Linked DNA regions of Canis lupus familiaris. The protein of the gene in region 3 interacts with the protein of the main gene of each other region in a pairwise test. Links are inferred from orthologs where the notes say so. Each region holds a gene or a part of one and is shown on either strand. Other genes may lie near its edges.

The links.
Region 1: the proteins of TUBGCP4 (region 3) and LZTR1 interact in binary tests that used the Homo sapiens proteins (3 or more experiments, as listed by UniProt). The link is inferred for Canis lupus familiaris from reciprocal best matches to the Homo sapiens genes TUBGCP4 and LZTR1.
Region 2: the proteins of TUBGCP4 (region 3) and SDSL interact in a two-hybrid assay, tested with the Homo sapiens proteins (2 studies listed by BioGRID and IntAct). The two-hybrid records come from large-scale screens. The link is inferred for Canis lupus familiaris from reciprocal best matches to the Homo sapiens genes TUBGCP4 and SDSL.
Region 4: the proteins of TUBGCP4 (region 3) and PAK5 interact in a two-hybrid assay, tested with the Homo sapiens proteins (2 studies listed by BioGRID and IntAct). The two-hybrid records come from large-scale screens. The link is inferred for Canis lupus familiaris from reciprocal best matches to the Homo sapiens genes TUBGCP4 and PAK5.

The regions. Positions count from the first base shown.
Region 1 is NC_049247.1:30,679,163-30,686,443, reverse strand, and holds part of LZTR1 (leucine-zipper-like transcriptional regulator 1), read left to right. Parts: intron 1-353; coding exon 354-416; intron 417-3,104; coding exon 3,105-3,161; intron 3,162-4,891; coding exon 4,892-4,971; intron 4,972-5,381; coding exon 5,382-5,490; intron 5,491-5,996; coding exon 5,997-6,080; intron 6,081-7,281. UniProt on the Homo sapiens protein: Substrate-specific adapter of a BCR (BTB-CUL3-RBX1) E3 ubiquitin-protein ligase complex that mediates ubiquitination of Ras (K-Ras/KRAS, N-Ras/NRAS and H-Ras/HRAS).
Region 2 is NC_049247.1:11,073,190-11,081,079, forward strand, and holds the start of SDSL (serine dehydratase-like), read left to right. Parts: upstream 1-2,593; 5' UTR 2,594-2,739; intron 2,740-3,952; exon of another isoform or gene 3,953-4,010; intron 4,011-5,092; 5' UTR 5,093-5,283; coding exon 5,284-5,295; intron 5,296-6,685; coding exon 6,686-6,761; intron 6,762-7,088; coding exon 7,089-7,282; intron 7,283-7,520; coding exon 7,521-7,560; intron 7,561-7,890. UniProt on the Homo sapiens protein: Catalyzes the pyridoxal-phosphate-dependent dehydrative deamination of L-threonine and L-serine to ammonia and alpha-ketobutyrate and pyruvate, respectively. Also exhibits racemase activity towards L-glutamate and D-glutamate.
Region 3 is NC_049251.1:10,549,937-10,556,234, forward strand, and holds part of TUBGCP4 (gamma-tubulin complex component 4), read left to right. Parts: intron 1-1,911; coding exon 1,912-2,089; intron 2,090-2,581; coding exon 2,582-2,716; intron 2,717-4,148; coding exon 4,149-4,265; intron 4,266-4,894; coding exon 4,895-5,034; intron 5,035-5,692; coding exon 5,693-5,705; 3' UTR 5,706-6,298. UniProt on the Homo sapiens protein: Component of the gamma-tubulin ring complex (gTuRC) which mediates microtubule nucleation.
Region 4 is NC_049245.1:13,085,618-13,092,898, forward strand, and holds part of PAK5 (serine/threonine-protein kinase PAK 5), read left to right. Parts: intron 1-1,038; exon of another isoform or gene 1,039-1,280; coding exon of another isoform or gene 1,281-1,283; intron 1,284-4,640; coding exon 4,641-5,426; intron 5,427-7,281.

The DNA.
Region 1 (7,281 bases), on a different chromosome or scaffold from region 3:
GGGAGGAAGTGATGGTGCCCTGGAAGATGTCTGGAGCGGAGGGGGTGTGCAGAGGGCGTCTCGGGGCGGGGTGGGGCCCGGGGCAGGTACTAGGGCCAAGTGGTGTTGGTGGGTCTGGAGCTGGGGTCCCAGCAGCTCTGCAGTGGGGCCCGGAGTCCAGAGAGCCCCCCGGCAATATCAGGGGTCTGTATACAGGGTCCTGGGGTACTGGTGGAATTTAGGGACCTCTATCCGTCTTAGCAGCCGAGAGGTGTTACCTAATTTCTGCGGCAGCCCTCGTGCTTAGCCTCATTCCTTGGGCGCCCCCAGGAGGGTCCTGACCTCACTGCCGCCCACCCATTCTTTCTTTCCAGGCGCAGCAAGCACACAGTGGTGGCCTATAAAGATGCCATCTATGTATTTGGTGGAGACAATGGGTGAGTGAGTATGCATCAGGGTGTTAGAACCGGGGGAGGGAGAAACATGGTGGCACTTCTCCTTCACTGTAGTTCTCTTTGGACTTTATCCACATGCTCACATGGCAGCATTTAGAGGGCACAGTTTTTTGTTTGTTTTGTTTTTAAATTCCCATATTTTCCACCTTTTTGCAAAGGTGTTCCCACATTGCCATAAATTCCTGGGAAACAACTTTCCTGATGTTTTGTTGGTGGACACACTTCTATCCCATGAACTATTCCCACTTAAGTGGTGGCTGGTCTCCTTTGGTTAAAGATAATGGCTGAGGTAAACCTTTGGTTTGTGTGACTGCTTCCTTCTGGTGGTGTTCCCCTAAGACCCATTCCCAGAGGGAAAGAGCTCTTATCACAGGCTGGGCCATGTTAAGTATGGGGCGTGGGCATAGCAGACATGCTTGGAGAGAAGGGGTCTGGTCTGGGCAGAGAAGCCTTCCTGGAGGGGTTGATGACCTGAAAGATAAGTTAGAGTGAGTCAGGTAAAAGAGAGTGTTCCAGGCAGAAGGACCAGCATGGGCAATGGCCCGGAGGTTGGGGGATGCAGAATGGCACCAGGCCTAGAGTCTGGACAGGGCTTCCCTCCCGCATTCATTCGTTGATGTGGTTCAGGAAAGGCCAGGGATGCCCACCAGGGCTCTGGGAGGCTTGGGAGCCTGCTAGACGTGGGGCTGAAGCTTGAAGCTTGATCCGGATAGACCGAGCTCAGTTCAAATTAGAGCTTTGTGACTGGGCTCCGGGTGGTGGCTTAAATCTCCTCCTCTGTATAGGGGGTGCCTGCATGCTCTGCTTTTGCAGTGTGCTCCTCAGGGTCAGTGAGCACAAAGCTGGGAAGGGCTCAAGACAGAGGTCTGGCTGTCCTGCAGATGCAGTGTTTGCACATGACCGATTTCTGCCCATGAGTCCATCCCTGCCTCTCAACCACAGGACGTGGCCTGAGGTCCAAAAAGGGCTGGCCTCTGATCGGTTCTGCAGCCTTGGTCTTTCAGGACTCCCTGGGGGTGAGGGAGCTGACTTGGAGGTGTTGGGGTACACAGGACCCCACAAGGACCTGCAGACCAACAGTGTGGTCTCCTTGGGCATGGCCTCTGGCCTCCAGCCTGTCTCCCCAATAGCTTCTTTCCCCATGAGCAGCCAGAGGGACCCATTTGAAGATGCAAGTCTCAGTGTGTTCCTCCTCAGCACATAGCCCTGGGGACTCCCCTCCGTCTGAGTACAAGCCCAAGCTGTCCTGGCAGCCGACCCTTTACGCTTGCGCCCGCCCTGATTTTCTGCCTTTGTTTTGCACGGCACTGGGCTACACCCCTGTCTTGCTGTGTTCTGAGTGAACCAAACATCTCCTGCTCAGGCCCTGGTACTGGCTGTTCCCTCCTTCCCGCCCTTCCTGCCTCTCTTCTGAATATACTGTGAGTGAGGCCCTCCCGGCCACCTGGACCAGCTGTTGGCCCTCCCCTCCCCTTCTGCACCTCTTGCCGGCCCCATGGTAAGAGCACCGATCCCACAGATACCCTCAGAGTTCTCTCAGAACACACAGATGTTTATGTGTCTCCTCCATGAGGGGGGGACCTGTACCTGCCACACAGACAATTCAATAAATGTGTGTCACGTGAAAGAATGAAATGGGAAGAGGCATCTGCCCACAGATGCTCCCTGCTGCCTTAATGACAATCCCCCCACCCCAAACCAGGCAAGGCCTGGTGTCCAGCCCAGAGCAGGAAGTGGGAACATCCCTCCCAGAGTTCTGTAGCAGGTAGAGTTGGCATGGCAACTGTGTAGCAACCAGCAGAAATAATTTGCTACAATGTGGCATCAAGAAACAGGGTACAGATTTGTCTCACCCTGGTTGCAATTTTGTAGAGATCCACTGGGTGCAGAGAAAGACCCCTTCCTGCAGCGTCTGGGAGGGGGGAGGAAAGGAGGGGGGAAGGAGCAGATGGGAGAAGGGAGAAATTATGGTCACATCTCGGCTTCCCAGCTCCTGGCTGCATGGCTGCATGGCCTTCGGCAGGCCCTTTATGTCCCGGGCCCCTTCCTCTTCTGCAAAGCAGGTGGAGCCCCTGGTGCAGACTGAGGGAAGGGTAGAGGGCGGTGCCCTGTATAGGCCTGGCATGCAGGGGGTGCTGGGCTCCTGTTGGCTGACTCCCTTCTTCCTTCTTACTGACTGACAAGGGCTGAGTGGAAACATGCAGGTCCTGCTAGGTTGTCACTGGACTTGTTTTCCATTTGATTGTATCTTTAATGTGGTTACATTGGCTTTGCAACAGGGAGGTGGAAGGAAGATCAGAGAGGAGGAAAGGGCCTCCCCTGAGATCTGGGAAGCTCTGCATTTTGGTAGCACAACCTCAGGAAAGGAGGCTCTGAGATGTGGGAGTGGGAGTTGGGGTTCTGGAGCCTGCCTTGGTGTGAGTCCTCAGGGCTACCTGCTGGGTGGCCAGGGTCATGCTTTGGACCCGACTGCAGGCAGGCCAGTCCCACGTACCTTGCAGCCCCGGTACCAGCACCATCTGGGGAGCTTCCTCTGTGGTCACCTCTCTGGGCCTTCGGGCATCAGCTGGCTGCCTGGCCCTGGCCAAGTCCCCACAACGGTCCCCACCCCTGGGCTGCAGTGTCCGATCGGCCCAGGACCGACCCCACCTGTCCCTGGCTGTCTTTCAGGAAGACCATGCTCAATGACCTCCTGCGGTTCGACGTGAAGGACTGCTCCTGGTGCAGGTAGGTGGCCTCGGAGCCCTAAGCACCTTCTTCCCCCTAGAAACCGGTAGCACTGTGCCAGGCCCCAATCACCAGCGGAGTCATGCTGGGGAAAGCTAGAAAGAAGCTTCGAGGAGGAGATAACAGTGGCCCTTAGCGTTCCTCTCTCTCTCCTGGGTTCCTTCTCCAGTCCCAACTCCGATTATTCTGAATCCTGTTAATTACAGGCATCTGTTTCATTGGTTGCAAGTCCTCAAATTCTGCCTGCGGAGAGCCCTTCCATCACTAGGCCTGTCTCCTGGGCCAGGGGCTGCTATGGGAGGTGACACAGGGTGGGGGGGCGTCAGCTTGTGGGTCCTTCCAGGACCGACCCTGTGTTGCTGTAGGATGCTGCCCAGGGGCTGACAGCACTGGCTCTCCTCCCCTCCGTGCCCCTGTGGGGCCCATCCTCTGCTTGGAGACCCCACATGGGTAGTGGGCAACAGGCAAGCCCTGGCCGCCTCCCGCAGATGGCCCTCCCAGCTGTGTGGCCTTGGCCAAGACACCTGCCCTCTCTGCTCATGGCATACGTGTACCCATCGGCTCCAGTCTGCAGCCTGCCCAGGGGGCAGCTCTCAGCTGAGGGGGAGAAAAGGGATCTCAGGATTAGGAGACACTGGGCTTCCTCCTGAGCTCTCCCATCTGCTCGTGCAGGAGTACAGACCCATCCAGCCACCTGGCTGCCACACTCTGCACAGGAGCTCTGGTGTAGCCCTCAGTCCCCCGAGTCCCCTCTGTGGTGGGGTCTCACCGCCCCTCTTTGGTGAAGGAGGACATCCAGGCCCAGGACCCACACCCTCCAAGCCTGGCAAACCAGGGTGGCATCATTGTGCACCACCCACCTTCTGCTCAGGAGACCTCCGTAGCTCTGGGATCACGAGAGAAGTTTTGTGTTGTTCGTCTCATCCTGGGTTTCATAACATAGCCCATAGTTATGGATCAGTTTTAAAAATCACCCTACAAACTGTACAATCCTTTACTAATGATTGCTTAAGGATAAAACTCTGAAAAGGAGCAGCCCCAGGAAAGCAGTATAAAGGGGTTTTTAACTCACTAAGTCAAGTGTGTGGCTGACCCCTGCGGATGGAAGCCAGTGCCGTGAAAGGACACTGGCCGTGAAAGGACAAGGATAGCTGATCCCGGAGTAGCCGGAAGACCTACTGTTTAGTTCAAAAAGCAGGTGTCATAAGATGCCTACCACATGACTCCACTTAGAAAATTACTCAGAGACATAAATACGCATAGGAAAGGTGTGTGGAGGGGTGACCTAAAGGTATAGATGGTGGTTTCTGGCAAAGGGATTATATGGAAGTCTCAGTGCTGGTTTTGTGTTTTTTCCTTATCAGCAACTTTTGTTAAAAGTTTCTATAATGAGGGGGCGCCTGGGTGGCTCAGTCGGTTAGCGTCCGACTCTTGGTCTCAGCTCAGGTCTTGATCTCAGGGTCATGAGTTCCAGCCCCATGTTAGGCTCCACGCTGGGCCCACATGGAGCCTACTAAAACAAAACAAAACAAAACAAAACAAAACAAAACAACCCATAAAATAAAGGTTTAAAAAAAACCTTTTCTTTTTTTAAGTTTCTCTAATGAGATAAGTATTGCCTACTAGATGCAAATATAAAAGGAATCCTGGGCGGGGGCGGGCTGCCCGGTGTGGCGTGGACCGCACAGCTGAGCCCCGCTGACACCCGCTGCCCCGTTTCCCCCCACCAGGGCCTTCACCACTGGCACCCCACCAGCCCCCCGCTACCACCACTCGGCCGTTGTCTACGGAAGCAGCATGTTTGTCTTTGGTGAGCTGCCTCTCCTCCTGGGTGCCGTGCCCTCTTCGGGGCTCCAGCTCCCCTGTCCCGCCACCAGGCCTGGGGCTCCTGTGCTGTGCATGGCCAGCCTCTGTCCCGCCTTGTCCTCTGTCGGAGTCCTCTGAGTTCCTGCACTGGGCTGGGGGCCCCTCAAGGGCCTCGTTCCCTCATTGTCCCGATCTCATGGGGTGACTGCTCGGGAAGGTGGCTCTCCTCCCTCCTCTGTCACTCTGCCAGGGGCAGGGGTCTGTTCATTTCTGTGTCCGAGCCTAGCACAGAGTCAGGCACGCGGTAGGTGCTCCCTGAGGCTTAGGGAGGGAGTCCCAGAGTACATCTTAAGTGAGGCTGGATTCTTCTCCCCCTGCCTTTGGGTGTGATGGTTTCTCGCTCTCTCTACCCAGGGGGCTACACTGGGGACATTTATTCCAATTCTAACCTGAAGAATAAAAACGACCTTTTTGAATATAAGTTTGCAACTGGCCAATGGACGGAGTGGAAAATTGAAGGACGGTGAGAGACTTTGCTGAAACCTTTGGGGGCTGTCCCGATGGCTACGGCGCTGGGTCCCTGGTGGCAGCTGGCCTGCGATCTGGGCCCTGTAGCTTTACAGGAGAGCCCGAGGCTCAGGAGGCTTGAGTCGTGCTCATTCCCAGCTGTGACTGTCTGAGGCCCCCTCCCTGCTCTTGGATTCCCTGCTCTCAGAGAGCAGAGGAGCCCCGGTGCACTGATGGGCCCTTCTCTGGTCCTGTTTTGCCAGGACCCTCCCCCACCCCGACTCTGATATTTCTGTGTTGGCTGGGAGAGGCCTTTACCCTGGGGACATGGGACATCTGAATTCCTCATCCCACTGCCCCGCCTCATGAACCCAGCCTCATGACCCCCAGCTGGCATCCCCAGAGCCCTGGTGTTGGCAGATGTAGGCATGGCAACCCTGGGGTCCCGGCCCGCCGCTTGGGGTTGTGAAGCTCGGGTCTGTGCTGGGTGGCCTCACTCCTCACCCCCTCCCCATGCTGCAGGTTGCCAGTCGCTAGGTCTGCCCACGGCGCCACGGTGTACAGCGACAAGCTGTGGATCTTTGCTGGCTATGACGGCAATGCCAGGTAGGTGGTGCCTGTGCACCGGCCTCTGGGCAGCCCTGTACGTGTACCGAGGGGGGCCTTCCTGGCATGGGAAGGCTCAGGCTGGGGGTTTCTCAGGAGGGTAATGTGGACAGGAGTGAGGGGAGGGTGGGATGGAGGTGGAGGGGAGCTGAGTGGAGCTCCCACCCAACCCCACAGCCCTGAGGCCCCTCCTGGGGGCATCCGAGGGGGCGGCAAGCCTGGCCCATTTTTGTGCCGCTCAGAGTGTGCTGGTCTCCACGGCAATAGGTGGCCTAGCTGGTGTCAGAGCTGGGGGAGGGGGGTGTGCGTCTGAACTGCCCAGGTGAAAATACTCGAGCTCAAGGTGAGCAGGTGGTGGCAGCAGCAGGGCTCAGACCCGGCCCCTCCTCTCTGGATGACAACATGGGGTTCCTGCCTACGTAGCAGGGACTGGATCTACCTCCTTCCTTTTTTTTTATTATTATTATTTATTTATTTATTCATGAGAGACTGAGAGAGAGAGAGAGAGAGAGAGAGAGAGAGAGGGAGGCAGAGAGAGAAGCAGGCTCCATGCAGGGAGCTGAACGCGGGACTCGATCCCGAGAGAGAGAGAGAGAGAGAGAGAGAGAGAGGGAGGCAGAGAGAGAAGCAGGCTCCATGCAGGGAGCTGAACGCGGGACTCGATCCCGGGTCCCCAGGACCACGCCCCGGGCCGAAGGCAGGCGCTAAACCACTGAGCCACTCAGGGACCCCCTATCTATAGAAAATTGGCTTCGCTGCATTTTTCTGGTTACAAAAGTAGCATGTGCTCATTCCCTGAGATCTCAGCATTATAGAAACTCCAAGGGGTGGGGCGCCTGGCTGGTTCAGGTCTTGGAGCTGTGAGTTTGAGCTAAGTGTTGGATATAGAGATTACAAAAAAAAAAAAAGAAAAAAAAAAAAGAAGAAGAAGCAGCAGCTCCAAGAGGTGGCAATGTTAGTGGTGGTTTCTGGGAGCTTTGCCTCTGAAGTCCTCTCTAAGCCCCAGGGGTGAGCCGAGTGAGACTGACCCTGCCACACTGGTGAGACATTGTGAATGATGGTGTGTGTTCCCTGGGTGGGGAGCTGGGGGGCCACATAGCAAGGGTTCAGTGCAGCCCCTACCCTGAAGCTCCCACCTCATGGCTGCTCCCCAGGCCCCTGATCAGAGTCCTGCATGATGTGTCGTTCCCTGGAGCCGTCC
Region 2 (7,890 bases), on a different chromosome or scaffold from region 3:
TTGCCAGGCCAGCTTCTTTTACCCATTTGGTACAATTGGGCCTCGGCGGCCTGGAAAGTGTATGACATGGAGTCCAAATGCAATTTGGGAGGATTCCTCTCCTGTGTCTGAGGCTCCATCCTTCCTCCCCACGCTGTTTCCTCGCCCTGGGGACAGCTGGGGGTGAGGATGGTGAAATGAAGCTTAATGAGTAACCTATGAGACTGGCCAGGGTGAGTGTTTGGCCACCATAAGCGTCAGGGACAGGGACTGGCTGACGAACATAGCTCTGGGATCTGGGACGGGATGGGTCAGTGACCTGGGCCACCTCTCCAGTCTTATCTGCTCTCTGATGGAGACATCCTGGCATCCCCACCTCAGGCTCTTCCAAGTCAGGTGCTCTGGAGCTTGGCCCCTCCACTTCTGAGCTCTGGCTCCGCCACTGCGATGGGACCTTGGGAAAGTGACTTGGCCTTTCTGAGCTAAGTCTGATTCCCCAAAAGAGGGTTTGTTACAACATACATCTCTCCAAGGTGTTGCAAGCATTCTGTGATATGATGATGTCATGTTCCCAAACTTCGAACATTCATTGCCACCTTTGCAATTTCTACCATATTGTGGTGTCACCTCTTATAAATACACTAATACCAACAATAGCATCGAACACAGAGCACTTTCCACTGTTCTAAATATTTTATATATATTAACTCATTTGATCCTCACAAATGAGTTGCCCACTAGAGAAGTTGTAGTCTATCCACATCTTACAGTTGAGGAAACAAGGCACAGAGAGGTTAAGAGATTTACCCAAGTTTACCCAGCGGGTAAGTGGCAGAGCTGTGTTTTGTGCCAGACCCCGGCTCCATGGTCTGTGCTCTGTGAGGCACCCTGCTCCTTCATCCAGAAACTAGTGCCACTGCTATGGCTACTACTGAATATTAAAAACAAAAAACAATGGATTGCATTTTAAGCATCGATTCCTGCCTTGGCTTCTTCCAAAACAAGAATATCTGTGAAATCATGGATTTGGTATTGTGTACAGGTGACCCTTGAACCATATGGAAGTTAAGGGTGCTGTCCCACCTCATGAAGTCAAAAATCTGTGGATAACTTCTGACTCCTTCAAAACTTAACTACTAAAAGCCTATTGTTGACCAGAAAGTTTACCAATAACAGGAAGTTGATTAACGTGCATTTTGTGGGCTCTATGCATTTTATACTGAATTCTTATAATCAAGTAAGATAGAGGAAATACTAAGAAAATCATAAGGAAAATATATTTAAAAATACATTTACAGTAAAAATACATTTACAGTCCTGTGTTGTAAAAAATCCACATATAAATGGAATTGCGCCATTCAAATCCGTGTTGTTCAAGGGCTGTCATGTTTCTTGTCCAAGTCTAAGCTGTGTGCTAAGGCCCCACTCCTCCAGGAATCCCCCTGATTCCACCCCAACCCAGGTGCCCTATGACGATCTTCTGCTCTCTGTCTTCCTGGGGGTGGTAAAATTGTCACTGCATTGGATGGTTTCCTCTCCCCCTAATCCAGGGGCCACCCCAGGACACAAACTCGGTTTTGCCCCTTTGTCCCCAGGGCCCAGTCCAGGACAGGACGCTTGACAAGGATGGGTACATGTTTAATGGGAGGATGGTGATGAAGCTTCCAGAGTCCTCATCGAGGATCATGGCCAAGCAACTCGACTTGACCTCAAGCATCCAGGAGTTAATCATCAAGCCTGGGAAGGTCACACACAGTCCTAGAAGGGCAAAGAACATCTCAGCTGCCAGGTCTTTCCTGGAACTCACCTCCCATTTTGTAGAGAGGAAACGTGAGGCTCAGAGATGGATGTGACAAGCTCAGTTTCACCCAGTGAGATGGTGACAGTATAAATCTGATCATGTTATTCCTCTGCCTACAGCCTTCTATGGTTCCTTAGTATTCCTGGGTAAGGTCCAGGAATGGCACAGGCGTCCCTGCAGAGTCTGGTTCTGGCCCATATTCCCAGCCCCAAACCTGCTTTCCCAGCGTCCTGGCGTCAGGTAAGTGTAAGTTACCTGCTCTGAGTGTCCACAGCCCTGTCCCACCTCTGCCTGACAATATCTGAGAGCACCGATTACAACTGCTCTTTGGTGGCCCCTTGGGACTTCATGAGAGCAGGGGACATGCTATATTGTTTGAGGCTAAAGTCCCAGGGCTCAACACATAGTAGGTGTTCAATAAATATTTGTTGAATGAATGAATAATCAGAGCCCTTCATTTGAACGATAAATCATTGTTTGGGTTCCTTTGTTGGATGTAAAATATCAGGGGTGAGGAGGTGCTTCAGAAAAATTAGGCCTTTTCATGTGGCAGATAACAATTGTTTCTTTGTCTTTTGACCTAAGCTGACCCTGACAGCAGTGGGGGTGGTGGCCTGGCACTCAGCGCAAACACTGGACTCAGAGTAAAATCTGGATGTGTCTGTGTCACAGAAGAGGTGGTCCAGGGTGTCTCTCGCTGGCTGGGTGACCTCGGCCCAGTGAGTCTCCCTGCTGGAGCCTGTATCATCAATGAGACCAAGGACAGTGCAGGGGGAGGCAGTGGACCTTGGTCTTGTTCCTTTCTTCCTCCAGCGGGGCGCTGTCCCTTTAACGTGGGAGGAGGGGCCAAGGCTGCGGGAAGTTGCCAGAAGCTGGGAAGAGCTGGTGCCCTCGCAGGCTGCAGGCTGGTGGGCAGCAGGCTGGAGCCGGGCTGGGTCTGGGCACTGTTCAGCAGGCAGGTAAGAGGGCCTGACACCCAAATGGTACCGCTGGGGCTCTGTGTGCGTTTGTGGAATGTGAACACAGGGTAGTCTGGAAGGTTCTGGGGCAAGGTCCAGAATGAGTGGACAGAAAGTGAGGAGGTATGGGTGCAAAGCCCCCCTAAGAACACTGATTTCACTCAGGGTTTCACTCTAGCCTGCCTTGGAGAAGAAGGCTGGGGGTGCCACAGACTCTGATGGCTGGGGAGCAGGTCCTGCTTGCCAGAGGGGCAGGGCTGGGCACTCTGCCAGCGCGAGTTTCCTGGCCTTGGCATCAGGGATTTGGCTGTAAGGGTTACCCAGGTGGCCTCTGGAAAAGCCTGAGGGACAAAGGAGGCAGAAACAGGAAATGGTCCTTACCCCAATTCACAGATGCATTAGGTGAAGCCCAGTGAGGAAAGGTGGCATGGCCAAGGTCGTGCCTGCTGGGACCTGAACCCAGGCCTCAGGCTTTTCACGGCATTGCTCCACAGCAGAGAGGGCCCAGGGCTCCCACCTCAGCACCCGTGGTGGCCACATGCTGCAAGAGCTGTGTGTCCCTAGGCCAAGGTCTCACCTTGACTCTAGACCTTAGTCTGGGAGGCCTGTGCCCTTATGGGCATCTGGGCTTGATAAGGGCTATTGGAAGTTTGGGGCCTGTTCATTTGACAGGGCTGCTGTCCTCCTGTGGGCTGTTAGGATAAGCAGGAGGCCTGGGGAGCCTTGGGACTGAGCTGGGAGCATTTGGCTCCTAAGGACACCTGGCAGTTAAGTATGAAATGCTCACGCCTTTCACCACTACCACCACCACCGTCATTATCATCACCTAGTAGAGAAAGTATGGCACGGTGCTACGGGCACAGATGCCAAAGTCCACTGCCTGAATTTGAATCCTGGCCGTGCCATTCCCAGCTGTGTCACCTCGGACAGGTTACTTAACCTCTCTGGGCCTCAGTTTCATTATCTATAAAATGGAGCTAGTAAGTGAACCTGTCTCAGGACCGTTACGATGATCTTATGAGATGGTATATGTGCCAATGATCTCGTCATAGAGCCTGGCTGGCAGGAGGTCCCACACACTGTTAGCTAATATTATATGTCAGGCATGGAGCTGAAGGCTTCACAATATGGCCTCACTGCGTCCACAGTGATTCTGTGATGTAGAAGCTCTTCTCCTAGTTTGCCGCGTGGTTAGTTCATTCTTATTTTTCAGGTCTCGGTGTTAATGGTCACTTCCTGCAAATAGGCCTTTCGTGACCTCTCTATCCACAGTAGGTGTCCTTGTTCTTCTCTTTAAGACTCCCTGTATGTGTGCGTTCCTCTTGGTAGTTTTCACCATTTTTGATTATTTTGTTTGTCTATATGGTTATTTATCAAACACTGATCTCCACATCAGCTCCGTGAGGGGATGTCCGTCTTCCTCAACAGGGTAACCCCAGTTCCCAGGTCAGGGCCTGCGCCTCGCAGGTGCCCTGTAGACATGCGAGAGAAGGGGTAAGCACGCCCGCATAGTTAGATGGCCCCAGAGAGATGATGCCTCTAGAGCGCTCAGCTGATGGCTGACGTAGAGTAGGGCAGGAGGGAACATGACACAGAGAAATCGAGATGCTAGTTGGGGTCACACAGCGAGGAATACAGAGCTGGTTTCTAACTTTGGTCACTGATTGACCCCTACGCCCGGAGCCAAGGTGAGGCCCAGGCTGAGGTCTGCTGAGTTTGGGTGACCCACAGGTTCCCTCTCCGATGCCATGTTCAGTTTGAGAAGTGCCCTGATGGAACCGGGTGGAGACTCTGGCTCAGACTCTGCCCTGCCTGGGGGATCCCAGGGCCATCCCAACAAGGGCCTGGGGTCAAATCTAGGGGCAGGAGACCTAGAACCCTCTGGTGGGGTGGGCAGCTGGGAGTAGGTAAGGGTGAGCAGGAAGCTTGGGCCCGTGGAGGATGGGGAGGCTGCAGCACGCCTCCTACTGGCCATCAGTGAAACTGCAGGGCTTGGCCCAATGCTTTTCTGACCCAAAGGAAAAAAAAGGGGTTGCATTTGCTCCTTAAAAAAAAAGAAAAAAAGACAAACAGCCCTCTATTTCTCCACTCTTCTCATTTCTTCCTCTTCTGTTTCTCACCTTTTACCACCGATTCGTTCACTAACTGTGCCTTTGCTTAAAACCTCCCGATGGCTTCCCAGGACAAGTAGAATTAGAATAACATCCCAGCTCCTCAGCGTGGCACGTCCTTCCCCAAGTCCCTGCCCACCTCTCCTTGCTCAGCTCCTACACCAGATCCCTTCTCCCCACACCAGCAACGCCCCAGGGTCATTTCTCTCTCAAGGTGTTTCCACCTGCTGTTCCTTCTGCAGGAATGCGTTCCCCTGGGCTCCCTGCTGTCACTCATCTCGAACATCTCTCTTGGAGAACTTGCAGATGGAAAGAGAATTCAAAGCCCTCTCTGCCAACCCAATACTCACAGATCTGATTTGCATCCTGATTCAAACTGTTAGAAACCCCAAATCACTGACAGCAAAACCAACTGTTTATCCCATTTAATGAGATGATTGGAAAGGTGAGCAATTATGTGACGATATTGAGAGATGATTATTAATGTTTTTAGATGTGATAATGGTATTGTGATGATGTGGTTTTTTTTAATTAGCGTCATTGAGATATGGTTTCTATAAAATAAAATTAGCCAGGGATGCCTGAGTGACTAAGTCAGTTAAATATCTAACTCTTGGTTTCGGCTCAGGTCATGATCTCAGGGTTGTGAGATGGAGGCCCCCATTGGGCTCCATGCTGGACATGGAGTCTGCTTAAGATTCTCTCTCTCCCTCCCTCTGCCTCAGCTTCTCCTCCACTTGCTCCCTCTCAAAAAAAAAATAAGTCCACTTTGAGTAAGAATTCCGTGAGTTTGCACAAATGTATACAGTTATGAATCCATATGGCTACTGTTTAAAAAAAGTTCTTAAGGGACGCCTGGGTGGTTCAGCAGTTGAATGTCTGCCTTTGGCTCAGGGTGTGATCCCGGGATCCGGGATCGAGTCTCACATCCGGCTCCCTGCATGGAGCCTGCTTCTCCCTCTGCCTGTGACTCTGCTTCTCTCTCTCTGTGTCTCCCATGAATAAATAAATAAAATCCTTAAAATAAAGAAATAAACCTAGTTTTACAAAAAGAGTTCTTTGCTTTTAGAGATCTGTGCTGAAGTATTTACAAAGGAAGTAGTATAGGAAAAAATATATAATAAGAATAAAGGATAAGGGGCACCTGAGTGGCTCAGTTTGTTAAGTGTCTGCCTTTTTAGCTCAGGCCAAGATCCCTGCGTTCCCATATCTAGCCCTGCCACATCAAGCTCCTTGCTCAGTGGGCAATCTGCTTCTCCCTTTCCCTCTGCTCCTTCCCCTACTCATTTTTTCTCTCTTGCTCCCTCTCTTTCTCCCTTGCTCTCCCAAATAAATAAAAAATCTTGGGTAGCCCGGGTGGCTTGGGTTTAGCGCCGCCTTCAGCCCAGGGCCCGATCCTGGAGTCCTGGGTTCAAGTCCGAAGTCGGGCTCCCTGCATGGAGCCTGCTTCTCCCTCTGCCTGTGTCTCTGCCTCTCTCTCTCTCTCTCTCTCTCTCTCTCTCTGTGTGTGTCTCTCATGAATAAATAAATAAAATCTTTTAAAAAAATCTTAAAAAAATAAAGGAGGAAAAACCCCATAGCACAGGGTGGGGGTGTGTGTGTGCAGGTGTGGTTGAAACAAGACAGGCCACGAGTGCTCGCTCAAGCTGAGAGATGGGCTACACCAGGGGTTCATTATACAGTTCTCGACATTTTGCTATGTTTAAATTCTCCATAATACAAGTTTTAAAAAAGTTTTTCTCTCTTGAGAGACTGTTTCTGACCATGCTTGCTGAAATACTGCCTCCCACCCCCATTGCCCGTTTGAAATTTTGTGCTTCTGTCTCCCCTACTAGAATGTGAGCTCTGGCAAAGCAGGGGCTGCCTCTGACATGTGCGCTCCAAAATCTGGAACCTCCTGGCACATAGTAGGTGCTCAATGAAAAGAGGTGTTTTTTTTTTTTTTTTTGCATGCATACCTGAATGAATGAAGAATGAATGAATGAATGAATTCTCCCACCATCATTCATTCATCACCATGTATTGGCCACCTTCTACACCCCCAGCACTGTGGGCTGGCACAGTTACAGAATGAAAGGGTCCCTGGTCCAAACCTTTTTGTCCAGGTGGGGAAACAGGCCGTGGCAGCTGGATAGGGCTAAGGAGCCTAATGGAGGCTCTTCTCCACGTTCCCCTCCTCCTGGTTAAGGGGACTTTGGCTGGAGCTGCCTGGGCTATGGCATTGGTGTTCTCCTGCAGGCCCCCTGGGGGTTGCTGGGATGGATCACTCTCGAACAGGCTGTGCTAAGGCTGAGCACTTCCACGTGGTCACGCCTCTGCTGGAGAGCTGGGCACTTTCCCAGGTGGCAGGTGTGACTGTCTTCCTCAAGTGCGAGAATGTGCAGCCGGCCGGCTCCTTCAAGATCCGGGGCATTGGGCATTTCTGCCAGGAGGTGAGGTGTCAGCAGGAGGGGAGAAGTGAGCCAGTTCTTGGGGGAGGAGAGGGATGGGGATGGTTGCCGGCTGGATGGGGGTGAGGGCAGGAGGGGAGAAGTGGACTCATACAGATGGGAGGAGCAGGATGAGGGGCAAGGAGTGTTGGAGTGGGCTGGGGAGGGACTAACTCCATCCCACACTGGCTCTATGACATCTGCCTGGGTCAGCCCCCAACCTCATTCCTTCTTTCCCCAGGTGGCCAAGAAGGGATGCAGACACCTGGTGTGTTCCTCAGGTGAGCCTTGGGGCTGGGTCCTCAGGGCTGAATGTAGGGGAGGAAGAGATGGCTGGAGCAGCAGTAGATGTCCAGGGATCAGCCTCCTGTTAAAGGCCCAGTTCCATCAAGGTCATGATTAGATGGCCATTTCATATATCCCCTCCCAGCCCTCTTCCCATCATTCAGGACTCATGGTAGAAGTGACAATAATCCAATTAATATAGGTTTAGGCTACAGGCCCCAAGAACTGAAAAATTCTTGGGATAAGTGGCTTTCAGGTACAGCTGGAACCAGGAGCTCTCCTTTGTATCTCTCCTTCTCTCAACTTGTCTTTTTTCTGTATAAGCT
Region 3 (6,298 bases):
ATCAGCTTTGTTCTTGATCCTGAGAGCCTGCCAGATGCTGCTGCTCAGCTTCATGTGGACCTCACATCCCCAACCCAAGGACCAAGAGCTCTAGGGAAGGGGAGGCAGGAGAAGCAGGCCTGGCTATGGTGGCCTGTGAAATCCGTCCCCACACCATTTAAGAATTTCTCAGATCCTGTCACACAGGTCAAGGCACTGGCCCTCGTGCTGGTTGGAGGATGGCAGCTGTTATGCTTGGACTAGAGGAAGAGGATGAAAAGGGAAATATGTGAACAAAAGGGCCTCTCATCTCTGCTCCTGTTCAGTCCTCTCTACCTTTTGGGGTAGAGAAGCTTAGGGCATGAGAGCCTAGGTATGAACTGGCAAAAACAAGGCTGGTTGAGGGAGATTTCTCTGGCAGGTTCAGAGCCCACAGCCCACCTAAGCAAGCTGTATAGACCTTGTCTTAACCCAGTGTCCCAGTGTCCCACAAGCAAACAGTCCACTTACATCCTCACTTGATACACTCTGAACACCCTTGAAGAAATCAATCTCAGATGTAGTTTTAAAAACTAATTTTTATTATGAGAATTTCCAAATATAAACAAAAGTGTGGACTATAATGATCCCCCACAGGTACATTATCCAGCTTCAGTAACTATCAACATTCTGCTTGTCTTATCTCTTCTTTTTTTCGCTAGAACCTTGTAAAGCACATCCCAGACAGGTCATTTGCCTCCATCGCTATGCGATTCAGAAAAGGCATGTTTTTAATGTAATTACAATGCAGTTATCACATCCAATAAAATTAACAATACGTCCTTATCTGGTACAGATTGAAATTTTCCCAGTTATCCAAAAATGTCTTTTTATGTTTCGGTTTGTTCAAATCAGAATCCAAACAAGGTGTACTTTTTTACTATGTTGTTCCATTAGAAATAGGTAATTTTAAAACCAAATCAGATTGGTGTCTGTAAGCCTGCCTACGAACAAGTAAACAGATCCAGTTCCACTAGGAATCAGCTGTTCTTCCCATGTGTGTTCTTGGTATGGGGCTCGGCATTTGGCAAGCAGCCCCTGAGCTTGCCTTGAGGCAGCAGTTAAGGGGCCTCCACTGCGTTCTCTTTTTTGGAACAGAGCATCACATTAACCAAAATCCTTGCTTCCTAACACATTCTGATTATTGGTCCATGCAAGACCCTCCTTCCTATTTACACATATGCCGCAAAACCATTTTCTAGCACAAAAACTGGAACACCGACAATAATGTCTGCCTCTGTGGTCTTCCCACTCTCACTCCCTTGGCTCCCTCAGCCCAAAGTAACCATTCTCCCACACTGTTTTCTGTTCATTTTGTTTTATTTTGTTAAGATTTTATTTATTCCTGAGAGACGGGGGGGGGGGGGGGGGGGGGGGGGGGGGGTGGGCAGAGACATAGGCAGAGGGAGAAGCAGGCTTCTTGTGGGGAGCCCGATGTGGGACTCGATCCCGAGTCCTGGGATCATGACCTGAGTCAAAGGCAGGTGCTCAAATCCTGAGCCACCCAGGTGCGGTTTTTTTTTTGTCCTTTTAATATTTAGTTTTATATCTATATGTATATTCCCTCAAAATATGTTTTTCTTCTACCCAGTTGTTTCAAGCATTATAAAACAAAGCATATCAGGCTGTATGTAACCTGAGTGTTCCTTTTAATCAGAATCCCATTGCCTGGAGCCGCCTTAAGTTGAACGGATGAAGTGCAGTCGTTTTAGCGGCCATGTAATGACCCACCATATTGATAAGCCACAGCAAATTCATCCATAGCTCTAGCCATTCTCATTTCCTTCCTACATTTTGGGGCACGGGCGGCAGGCACAGAGTCCTGGGGTCTGTCTTGCAGGTGAGGTGGGAAGTGAAGTTTTATTCTTGAATAGCCTGCCGTTTGTGTCCCAGGTACAATGTTGTTTTCAAGTACTTACTGAGCGTGCGCCGGGTGCAGGCCGAGCTGCAGCACTGCTGGGCCCTACAGATGCAGCGCAAGCACCTCAAGTCCAACCAGACTGACGCAGTCAAGTGGCGCCTGAGAAATCACATGGCATTCTTGGTGGATAATCTTCAGTACTATCTCCAGGTCTGGGTCAGGGGATGAATGGGAGGAAGGGGTAGGGAAAAAAAGTCTGGGACATGAGCAGGATTTACCAAAGAGGAACTGCAGTCCTGCATTGGACGAGATGTTGGGGGTTGAGAAAATGCAGGTTAGATCGTTGGGAGGGGTTTCTTGGCGGCATTTTAAAGGAAAGTGGGAATAAATGAAGGAGAATGAGCTTAGGGTTCTTGTCAGCAATGCTGATTCGATCCTTAGTTTTAGTTGGCTAGGCCGTCTGGAATCTGTAGGACTTAACCAGGTTAGTCAGTGGAGGCGATATGGCGTGAAGTGGGGGATCTGCCAGAACTTTGGGGTTATGAGGCATTAGGCAGAGAACTTGCTACAAGGCAAGGTAATATGGCCTCTGCGCGGCTTTAAAGTGGCTCCAAGAATTTCTTTCATACTGTATTTCATCTTAATGTCCTTGAGTGCTTAGAATATGCCAGGTACTGAAAGCATCTGTTCACTGCCCATCAGGTAGATGTGCTGGAGTCTCAGTTCTCACAGCTGCTGCATCAGATCAATTCTACCCGTGACTTTGAAAGCATCCGATTGGCTCATGACCACTTCCTTAGCAATCTGCTGGCTCAGTCCTTTATCCTGTTGAAACCTGTAAGTAGGGCTCTGGGCTTCCTCAGACTGCTTCCACCCTGACTGTTCCCTTAGGTCCCGAGTTGCCAGGATACGGAACTATCATTCAACAGTTGTTCAATCTCCATTTTTAAACCTTTCTGACAACTTAAAGCAAAACTATAAGGGACTGTTAAAAGGGAACTTAAATGTCTTTGAGTTTCTGAAATACTATATCCTCAGGATGTGGTGCGCAGCTATAGAAGAAAGAATATGTGCTTAGCCCTCAAAGGGAAGAATTTAAAGAATTTTAAATAAAACTTTTCTGACACCACAGAAGGGCTAATGAAAAGCACATAGTGCTTACTTTCTTAGAAATCTTTTGGATCAGGATTGACCAGTTGAGAGTTGTTTTCACAGACAAGTGAATAGTGTCTCCCTTTGTGTACATATGTACCTCTCCTTTAGGGTAGTTACTCTCAGCCTTGCCTACACATGGGAATCACCTAGAAGCTTCAAAAAATCTGGGGCCCCGAGCACTTATATTAGAATCTCCGGAGTGAAACCCAGGCACCTGTGTTTTTTTAAAGCTCACAAATACATGAAAATTCTCAAATAAAAAGTGGGAAGGTTGAAATGACCCCTCACAGTTACGTAGATTCCGCTTCATCCCTGATGTCAGCCAGCTGTCATCCCTCAGTCCTGCCACAGCACAAACACTAGACTTCTCTTGTTCGTATTCGGAGCTATTTTTGCTGCACTCAGTAAGGGAGAGCAGGTTACACAGATGCCACTCCAAGGGCTGTTTGTGTGAATGGACAACACCAAAAGCCGCTGTGACAGGCCAACTACCCTCGTGTGGCATGAGTACACCCTTGGGAAAAGCAGAAGATCAGAGCAGGTGGTGACCATTAAATATTTATTGAGTGCTTACTTTATGCAAGGCACTGGGGATACAAAGAGGTATAAGTCATGGCTCTGCCCTTAAGGAGCTCACAATCTAGTTGGAGAAACAGAACATACATACATACACAGACTAGTAACAACACAGGTGGCCTGAACAGATGCCAAGAGAACAGTACAGATAATAGAGAAGCAGGGGGGTCACTAGAGGCTACAGGGGGGAAGGGAGTGCCCCACCAAGAGAACTTGAACTGGCATTAAGGAGAGTAACTCTGAGCAAAGCTCAGGGCTGGAGCACATGTGGGTCCAAGAGACGATGCCTAATTTGATGTGGCTAGAATGGAAGTTTTGTGCAGGGGTTACTAGCAGAATAGTAGCATCTTTGCCAGAAAGCGAAGAGTTGGTGTTACACGTGTTGTATTTCGAGGAGCCCACAGGACTGACTCATACGTGACAGTCTCTCCTGAGGTCAAAGAATGGGAATAAAGTAACTCTCAGACTGTTTTCCCAGATCTCTAATCTCATAGATTTATCTTCCTTCTTTTCCTAATACCAACTATTTCCTGGGTAGGTGTTTCACTGCCTGAATGAAATCCTAGATCTCTGTCACAGCTTTTGCTCGCTGGTCAGTCAGAACCTGGGCCCACTGGATGAACGTGGGGCTGCCCAGCTGAGCATCCTGGTCAAGGTGAGTCTGCCTGGCTGTTGGCAGTATGCAGCCCTGTCCAAAGGGTAGAGGTTTGTTTTGCCAATGGGGAGTCATGATCTTTCCCTCTGGGTCAATAAAGCATTTCCCCAATACATATATACACACAGAAATAAGAAGATACAAAGATAAAAATGTTGGCATCAGTTCATTTTGAAGCAGATAGTTATGTGCCATCTCAGCATTTGAAAATAGTTTGGCCGTGAATAGTTTCTTCAGCCCACAAACATGCATTGGTTTTGTTCTCACAACCTCCTATCCAACCTCCTTCCTTGAACGAACTCCGTTTCGCTGGGATTGTAATTATCTGACTCTAACAAAAATGCGCAGGCTCTCCCCAGCCCCAGTAATCAACAGAATAGATGCTAACTTCCTCCTGAGAATGGGAGTGTACTTTCACTCAAAGCCACGCCATCCGTGGACTCAGTACTAAGACGACCTTTTAGGAGCTAATAGAAGCGAGGCTGTGGGAAGGCCAGCTGGTGCTGGAGAATTTTGAGCAAGTTTTTTAAGGAACCCCCTCCCCTCCCCCCCCCCAGCCTCACTCCACATGGACAGTTGGTTGAGTCTGAGAGGAATAGGAATGACAGCCTGAGTCCTTCTCTCTGCAGGGCTTTAGCCGCCAGTCTTCACTACTATTCAAGATTCTCTCCAGTGTTCGGAACCATCAGATCAACTCAGATTTGGCTCAACTGCTCTTACGGCTAGATTATAACAAATACTACACCCAGGCTGGCGGAACTCTGGGCAGGTAGGAACAAGCCTTAGGGAAGTGTGGGGACTCCATGAATGTGGCTGTTTAACAAGTTGTAATTCCAGAGCTGAGACATCAGCCACTGTCTCATCCAAGTAGCTCATTTTATAAGCAAGGAAACTAAGGCTTAGAGACATGAAGGGCTATGTCTGATCAGCTCTCTTAATTCAAAGGAAGCTTATTTTCTAGTAAAAGCCATCATCATAGTAAAATACTAAAACTCCTGATGCTGAGATGGGTTTTTAGTTCTCAGCTGGGCTGGAAGAAAGAACTGAGCAGTAGTTGGTTCCCAGTTCTGACATTAACCAGCTGTGCAGCCTCAGGCACCCTTGCCTCACTGGCCCCCCAGCTTCTGCATTTGGGAAAGGTGATCGCCCCTTCTAATTCTTAGCTTTTTAATCCAGTAGATTCAGCGGTGGTTGGCTTTTCTCAGAGGTCTGTCCTATTTTTTAAAAAGCACTTTATTGTTCTTTCTGTCTCCTAATTGTCCTCAAGCAGATTTTTCCTAAGCGACTTTAGTGGAAGAGTCAAAGAAACTTAAGAGTTTTAGAAGATGACACTACGTAGATCACAGGTTGCCCTGATTCCTATTTCTTTGAAGAAAATCTTGGGAAAGCATATTTGATAAGGCTCTTTTTTTGTTGTTGTTTTCTAGTTTTGGGATGTGAAAATACCTGGTTCACAAACCAACAGTCTCTCACCGTGTTCCCAAATCTGTGACAGAAGATTTAAAACATCCTACTCTTCAGCCACTCAACAAATGCTTGCAGCCTACTGAGTGAGGGTCCTACTTTTTCCTCCTAGAAGCTACTACTGCTGAACATTCATGGGTACAGATCCTTCCCACGTGGAAGGGTCTACCCTACCTTAGAGTTCTTAACTCCCCTACCATAGAGGATATGTAGTGCCAGCTCCCTCTCCACTGACCTTGCAAGATCCATTACACTGAGAACATCTGTTGGACACACCCATTTATTGAGCACCTACTATATGCCTAGGTATTGCTCAAGCTGGTGGTAAAAGGGCAATTTTAGCTATTGATAATGTACTTAAAGCAGTAGTATTTTAACAAAGAAAAAGGGTCCTTAAGAAAAAAGCTGAGGTCAAATTCTTAGATTTCAGATATTGAAAACTGCAGGTCTAATTATCCCCTCTTGGAAGAACCAAAGGAGTTGGAGTTCCCTTAATCTGGCCCAACCATTACTGTAATTATTAGTGTTCATACTGGTCTGAATCAAAATAAATATTCATTGTACAAACA
Region 4 (7,281 bases), on a different chromosome or scaffold from region 3:
TAAGACTAATAGTCCAGCCCAATCAAAGCTATTTATTAATTTTCTGAAGATGATATAATTTTCTGAAGATGGTACAATATTCTGAAGATGATTTTAATTTTCTGAATAAAAATGCCACAGGACAAGTGATCGAAATGCCAGTTTAATATGAGCTGAGGACTCTTTCTTCTGTTATCACAGTTATCCACATAGCCCCAAAGATGGTGGAACCTTAACATACTCCGATCATCTGTGCCTCCATCAATTGAGTAAGTGATGAGCTGGTAACACCTCTTTTTTTGGCCATCTGAGTCCGTCTATTATTTCCTCCTGGACTTAGCTCATGATTCTCCTCTTACTGAAAACTTATCAGGATTTTTAGTCTGTTCTTCTCTCATCTTTTCTTTATAAACTTCACGTTTTAACTTGCCTTTATCAACGAGTTGTATTTAGTGCTCTTCAAGCATTTCAGATTTACAAATGTGTGTCCACTGGAATGGAGTGCCTACATTGGTATGTTTCAAAACTGCTACATAATCCCTCCCTCCGTCAGCCTCTACAATTCCTGGAGGCGACTGGAGGGGTATCACTAGATATCAAACGATAGTATCTTTTTTATAAATTGGAGACTAGGTAATGGAAAAAAAGGATGAAACTAAATCACATAGCAAATGTGGCTAAAATTAAGACCAGAACTATTAGCACCACTTAATACTATTTTCTTAAAAATCTGTACAAAACATGGGGTGCCTGGGTGTCTCAGGTGAGCATCCGACTCTTGATTTCGGCTCAGGTCATGATGTCATGTCATGGGATCAAGCCCATGTTGGACTTCCCACTCATCAGGAAGTCTGCTTAGGATTCTCTCTCTCTTTTTCCCTTTTCCCCTCACCCCCTCTCATGCTTTCTCTCTCTCTCTCTCTCTCTCTCTCTCTCTCTGCCCTTCTCTTTCTCTCTTTTTTCTTGTTCTTTCTCAAATAAGTCTTTTTAAAAAATTTGTACAAAGCATTATTTTTTTTTAAATATTTTATTTATTTATTTAGGATAGTCACAGAGAGAGAGAGAGAGGCAGAGACACAGGCAGAGGGAGAAGCAGGCTCCATGCACCGGGAGCCTGACGTGGGATTCGATCCCGGGTCTCCAGGATCGCGCCCTGGGCCAAAGGCAGGCGCCAAACCGCTGCGCCACCCAGGGATCCCCTGTACAAAGCATTATTGAAGAGAGGAGGCCAGCTGCTAAATACACAGAAAGTAACAGTACCTATGTCTAAGAGCTTGAAGAGTACCTGAGCAAATAGGGAAATGGTAAGTAGGTAAGAGGCAACTGAAATGCAGTAGGAAGCTTCTCAGACAGACTTGAGGATGAGTTACTAGCACTCATACTTAGTGAATCAAAAGATGTCCATTCCTTCCTTTCCTCTCCCCAGTTCTTACTTGTCCCTGTCCAAGGTATTGTTTCTCCCAAGTTCATCTGTTGGGATGGGCATGGATATTGTTGCCCTGAGAAGAGGTCCTGAGGTATATATGATAGGTGATTCTTTTTCTCTCGAGAGGATGCTCACACAGAACATCACCTATCTGGACAATCAATCCATTTATACCCCTCCCACACACATAATCATCACACTCCATATACTGGAATACTATTCAGTGATTTTTAAAGAAGAATGGCGGCAAATAGGCTATTAATTCACAGAACAACCTAGATTAAGCTCAAATGCATTATCTAAATGAAAGAAGCCAGACCAAAAGGCTCTGGACTGTTTGATTCCATTCCTAGGTTATTTGGAAAAGGCAGAACTATACGGATAGAAAACAGATCAGCAGTATATCAGAGGTTTGGAGAAGAGGCAGTATCCGACCAGGGAAAGCCCAGGAGAGGGCAAGTATAGACCTAATCTGTATGGCCCTGTAATGGTGAATATATGATGCTTTGTATTTGTCAATACCCATAGAATTTTCCAGCACAAAGAGTAATTTTTTAAGCCAACCAAATCAGAGGATCCCAGGATGGAATACAAACTGTGACAGAAGAATTTAACTATTACACATGTGTGAGATAATCTCATAGAAGGGGGTGGGGGTGGGGAGTGGACACTAACCTAAGTAACTTTTTAAAACAGGGCTTTCTTTGAATGGAAACTGTAAGCCCTAAGTCCAAAACACCATACTAAACACTGTACTCTAGCTGGCAATGTGGTTTGCCATGGTGATGTGGGGTAATAATTCTAAAACTGCTATATTTGTAACCTCAGATTGAATAACCAAAATAAGGGCAGATGGAGGGATCCAGGTTTTTCACCATTTTTTTCACCAACAAATACAGGGAAAGCTAGAATGAACCATGTGAGACTGGATTAGATTCAGAGACAATAGTACAAATTCGTGTTTAGCTTCATATAGGAACAGATGGATAGATATATTTACAGATGTGTGTGCATACTAAGGGAAGTGTATGTACATGTATTGCCTGGCTCTGTTCGCTGAGGGGCTCTATTCACTGGAAGCAGTGACACCCCAGTAACAGTGAGCATACCCGGCATCCAGATATTAGTTTCTAATTTTAGCTTCTAATATCATTAGCCAGTTAAAGGAACCAGGCCCCTTGGAGACATGGTTGATTTTAGGGCAAGGGCAGGGAATTTACAAGATGAACCTGGAGTCTCTTGTAGTGTTAAAAAGTAAGGACGGGCTTAAAAAATAAGAGGATGGAGGCTTATGAAAGGGACAGAGCAGCCAGTATGAAAGGACTCTCAGTAACTAAAGCTAGAACAAACAGAGAAACAAAACAAAAACATAGTTTGGGATTATAATCCAAAGTATGAAATAAACACCCATGATTCTACCCATACTGACACAACTAAATGACTGAAGAAGTAAATAGAATATGCAAGTCTCCTGTGCAGAAGAATTCTGTATACTCTATGTAGGTGCCCCCTCTCATGGAAGTAGAATGGTCTTCTAAGGATACAGTTTGGAAAGCAACAAAGGAAGGGGAGTGTAACTTTGTAGTGCGGAAACCTGGTAAGCACAACCTGGGTCAGGTGACCAAAGTCAGCATCATCAGTAATAAGCCACTGATGATGATAGGCATGCTGGATATGATGGGATAAAATTGGTACCTTAATCTGTGATCTGCCCCTGCCCCCAAACCAATAACCTCAGTTTAACCATGAGAAAAACATCAGACATTCCCAGTTGAGGGACATTCTGCTCCTTAAAACTATTAATGTCATCCAAAACAAGGAAAGTCTGAGAAATTATCACAGACCAGAGGAGATTAAGGAGACATGAAAAATAAGTATGAGGTATCCTGGATGGAACCCAGGAACACTGGGGGGGGGGGGACAATGAAATTAACATAAACTGTGAAGTTTAGTTAATAGCAGCGCAAGATATTGACAAGACAGTAAGGGATAGATCAGAGCTCTATATATTCTCCTTGCAATCCATTAATCTAAAACCATTCCAAAATTAAAAGTTTATTTAAAAGAAAGGGTTATAGGCCAAAAGTCTAAGTCCAGGACTGATTGGATGGAAAAAAACAAAACCTTGTCTTTCATCATAGATACTTCGGGAACTACTGATGTATAAAGCATATGCTCTAGGACAATTTTGACTTGTTCCTCTAGTTTGAAATCCTCTATTATACTGAGATGGTTTTGAACTCCTTTGCTACTTGCTCAAATGTATTTTTCTCTTAAAATCCTGGAAGTATGAAGTCACAACACTTTGTTCTTTGTTCTTTTATCCACCCCCATCATATTTTGCTGCAAACCTTGTCATTGTCAAGGCACAGCTGACTGGCTTTGTAAGTGGTTTGTGATTTCTTTCCGTTCCTAGTATTCCAGTGTTATTAGGTTCGTTAAAGGGAACATTTGGGCTTGGCAGCTTGTGTCACTAAGATTCAAGTATAACCACATCAATTACTAAGCCATCCAAACGTCAGCGATGATGATACGAAAGTGTGGCTCTAGCAAGCATTATAGTTAGACGCTTAATGAGAATATCATATGTGATCACGAATAAAATCTCACAAGTAATCTTCATGCTGTTCCTTACTTACAGTTCAGAAAGTGCCTCTTCCAGAAAATCTGATAACTTCAGTTTTCATAAGTATTTCATAAAAGGGTAAAAAAAAAAGTGTGTGCCCATTTCTGGGAATGTTAATATTCAAGTTACCGTGTTTACTGGCTTTGCAAATAATCTGGATAAGGAATATAAAAGTAATAAATATGCTTTTTCTAACCAGTTGTAGACTTAAAATTATAATCAGCTTATTGTTAGATGGTTAGGGTTTATTATTTAAGGAGGGGAAGGAGTGAGGCGGAGGTTTCACTTACCTGGTAAATAAGACAGTGATTGCTTGTATAGTCTTCTAAATGGCTTTTGATGTTTAATTGATCTCTCTGTTGAGATAGGTAAAAGAAATTTTGCAATTTTCAATTATGTAATATTTAGCTCATTTCACCACTGAAATCAGTCAACAGGTTTTTTGTTTTTGTTTTTGTTTTTGTTTTTTTTAATCATTACTTTTTAGAGTATGTTCCTAGGGTCTTTTCTCCTTGTGGTTGAAATTAGATGGAGTTGGGGTGGGATTCCAACATCAACTTGAGAGCATGAAATGTTTTCTTTAAATGGCATTCCTTTTACTATTCCCAGACAATCGTTAGAGGAAATAAACCGTGCAAGGAAACCTCCATCAACGGCCTGCTGGAGGACTTTGACAACATCTCCGTGACTCGCTCCAACTCCCTACGGAAGGAAAGTCCGCCCACCCCAGACCAGGGGGCCTCCAGCCACGGTCAAGGCCATCGTGAAGAAAATGGCTTTATCACCTTCTCACAGTATTCCAGCGAATCCGATACCACTGCTGACTACACAACTGAGAAGTATCGAGAAAAGAGTCTCTATGGTGATGATCTGGATCCATTTTATAAGGGCAGCCATGTGGCCAAGCAAAATGGGCATGTCATGAAGACAAAACATGGGGAGGCCCACTATCCTGAGATGAAGCCTTGGAAATCTGATCTTGCCAGATTTCCCCTTGATTATCACACCCACTTGGACTCCCTGAGCAAACCAAGTGAATACAGCGACCTCAAGTGGGAGTACCAGAGAGCCTCAAGCAGCTCCCCTCTAGATTATCCGTTCCAATTCACGCCTTCTAGAACTGCGGGGACCAGTGGGTGCTCCAAGGAGAGTCTGGTGTTCAGCGAAAGTGAGTGGGGACCCAGCCTGGATGACTATGATAGGAGGCCAAAGTCGTCCTACCTGAATCAGACCAGCCCTCAGCCTACCATGCGGCAGAGGTCCAGATCAGGCTCGGGGCTCCAGGAACCCATGATGCCCTTCGGAGCAAGTGCATTTAAAACCCACCCCCAAGGACACTCATACAACTCCTACACCTACCCTCGCTTGTCCGAGCCCACAATGTGCATTCCAAAGGTAATGTTCACTGCCTCCTTCCCTCCCATGGGCAGGCACCTCACAAAGGTGGTGCTAGCATGACCTTCTCACAGAGTCAGATTCTAAGGTGAAGGTTTGCCTTTTAAGTGAGAATCCATATTGAAACGCTACCTGATTTCCACGCACAAGCCCCAAGGGCAGAGGATATAGAGCAAGGAACATATATTCATTAAAATCAAAGTCTTTGGAGATCTCCTCGAGGGTTTCTGATTAAAAGGCAAAAAAAAAAAAAAAAGTTTATTTGAAAGATATCCTGATATACTACTAATAAATATTGTGTGCTCCTATTAGACTAAGTCCTCTTTTAAGGAGCATACGATTATAAACCATTAGATGGCTAATATTGTAGTTCCCACTTTCTGGCAAAGTTTATAAGGATCTGTTGAAAAGGAAAAAATAAAGTCAGGATTATCATGGTAAGTTTTTAATAAAGTTCATTTTTAAAAATTTAATAATTTTCTAATTATTAATTTTTTTAATTTTATAATTTTTAATAAATTTTAATTTAATAACCATTCTAACAGGTATGGGGTTGTATCTCATTGTGGTTTTGATTTTCCCTGATGTTGAGTCATGTCTAGAACCTTTCCATGTACCTGTTGACCATTTGTATATCATCTTTAGAAAAATGTATATTCAGGTTCTTTGTCCAAATTTTGATTGGGTTATTTGGGATTTTTTTTTTTTTTTGCTATTGAGTTGTATGAGTTCCTTATATATATTTTTAACCCCTTATCAGATATGTGGTTTGCAGATGTTCTCTCCCATCCCATCAGTGTCTTTTCATTTTGCTAATGTTTTCCTTCATTGTGCAGAAGCTTTTTATTTTGATGTAGTCCCACTTTATTTTTGTTATTATTGCCTTTCAGTGTCAAATACAAAAAAGTCACTGCCAAGACCAATGCCAAGGAACTTACCAATATTTTTCTTCTAGGAATTTTATGGCTTCAAGTCTTACATTCAAATCTTTAATGCATTTTGAATTAATTTTTGTGTATGGTATAAGACAAGGGTTCGGTTTCATTCTTTTACACCTGCCTGTCCAATTTTCACAGCACCATATATTGAAGACTGTCCTTTCCTCATTTGTATATTCTTGGCTGTTTTGTAAAAAATTAACTGAATCTATATATATATATTTCTGGTCTGTGATCTGTTCTATTGATCTGTGAACCTGCTTTTTTTCCAGTACCATACTATATGTTGACCACTATAGCTTTGTAATATAGTTTGAAATTAGGAATCTTTGTTCTTCTTTATCAGGATTGCTTTGGCTATTTAGGGTCATATATGATATTTTATATGTGATATATTTGAACACTTATGGTCAGAAGCTCTTTAGGTCAAGATCACAAAGTTCCGTCCAGAGGCAATAATGTTGCAGCCCTGGAGCCATACTTGGCTTCTCGACCCGTTGAGTCCACCAAGTAGTCATTTTCAACTTCTGAAAAATCAAAATATTTCACTTAAAATCTTCAACTTCTGGGTTTTAGGATTCTCTTTAAAAAAATGGGATGATCTGGGCAGCCCTGGTGGCCCAGCAGTTTGGCGCTGCCTTCAGCCAGGGTGTGATCCTGGAGACCCGGGATCGAGTCCCACGTCAGGATCCCTGCATGAAGCCTTCTCCCTACCTGTGTCTCTGCCTCTCTGTCTGTCTGTCATGAATAAATAAAAATAAAATCTTAAAAAAAAGGGATGATCTGATAACCCTAGGCCCACATTTTCACACAGCATTGGAAATGGAATTGGCTGGAGACAAAGGCTGCCCCATTAGAGGGGATAGGCCCTGCCCAGGCCACTTCATTCATTCTGCCCATTAGCCTAATCCCTAGAG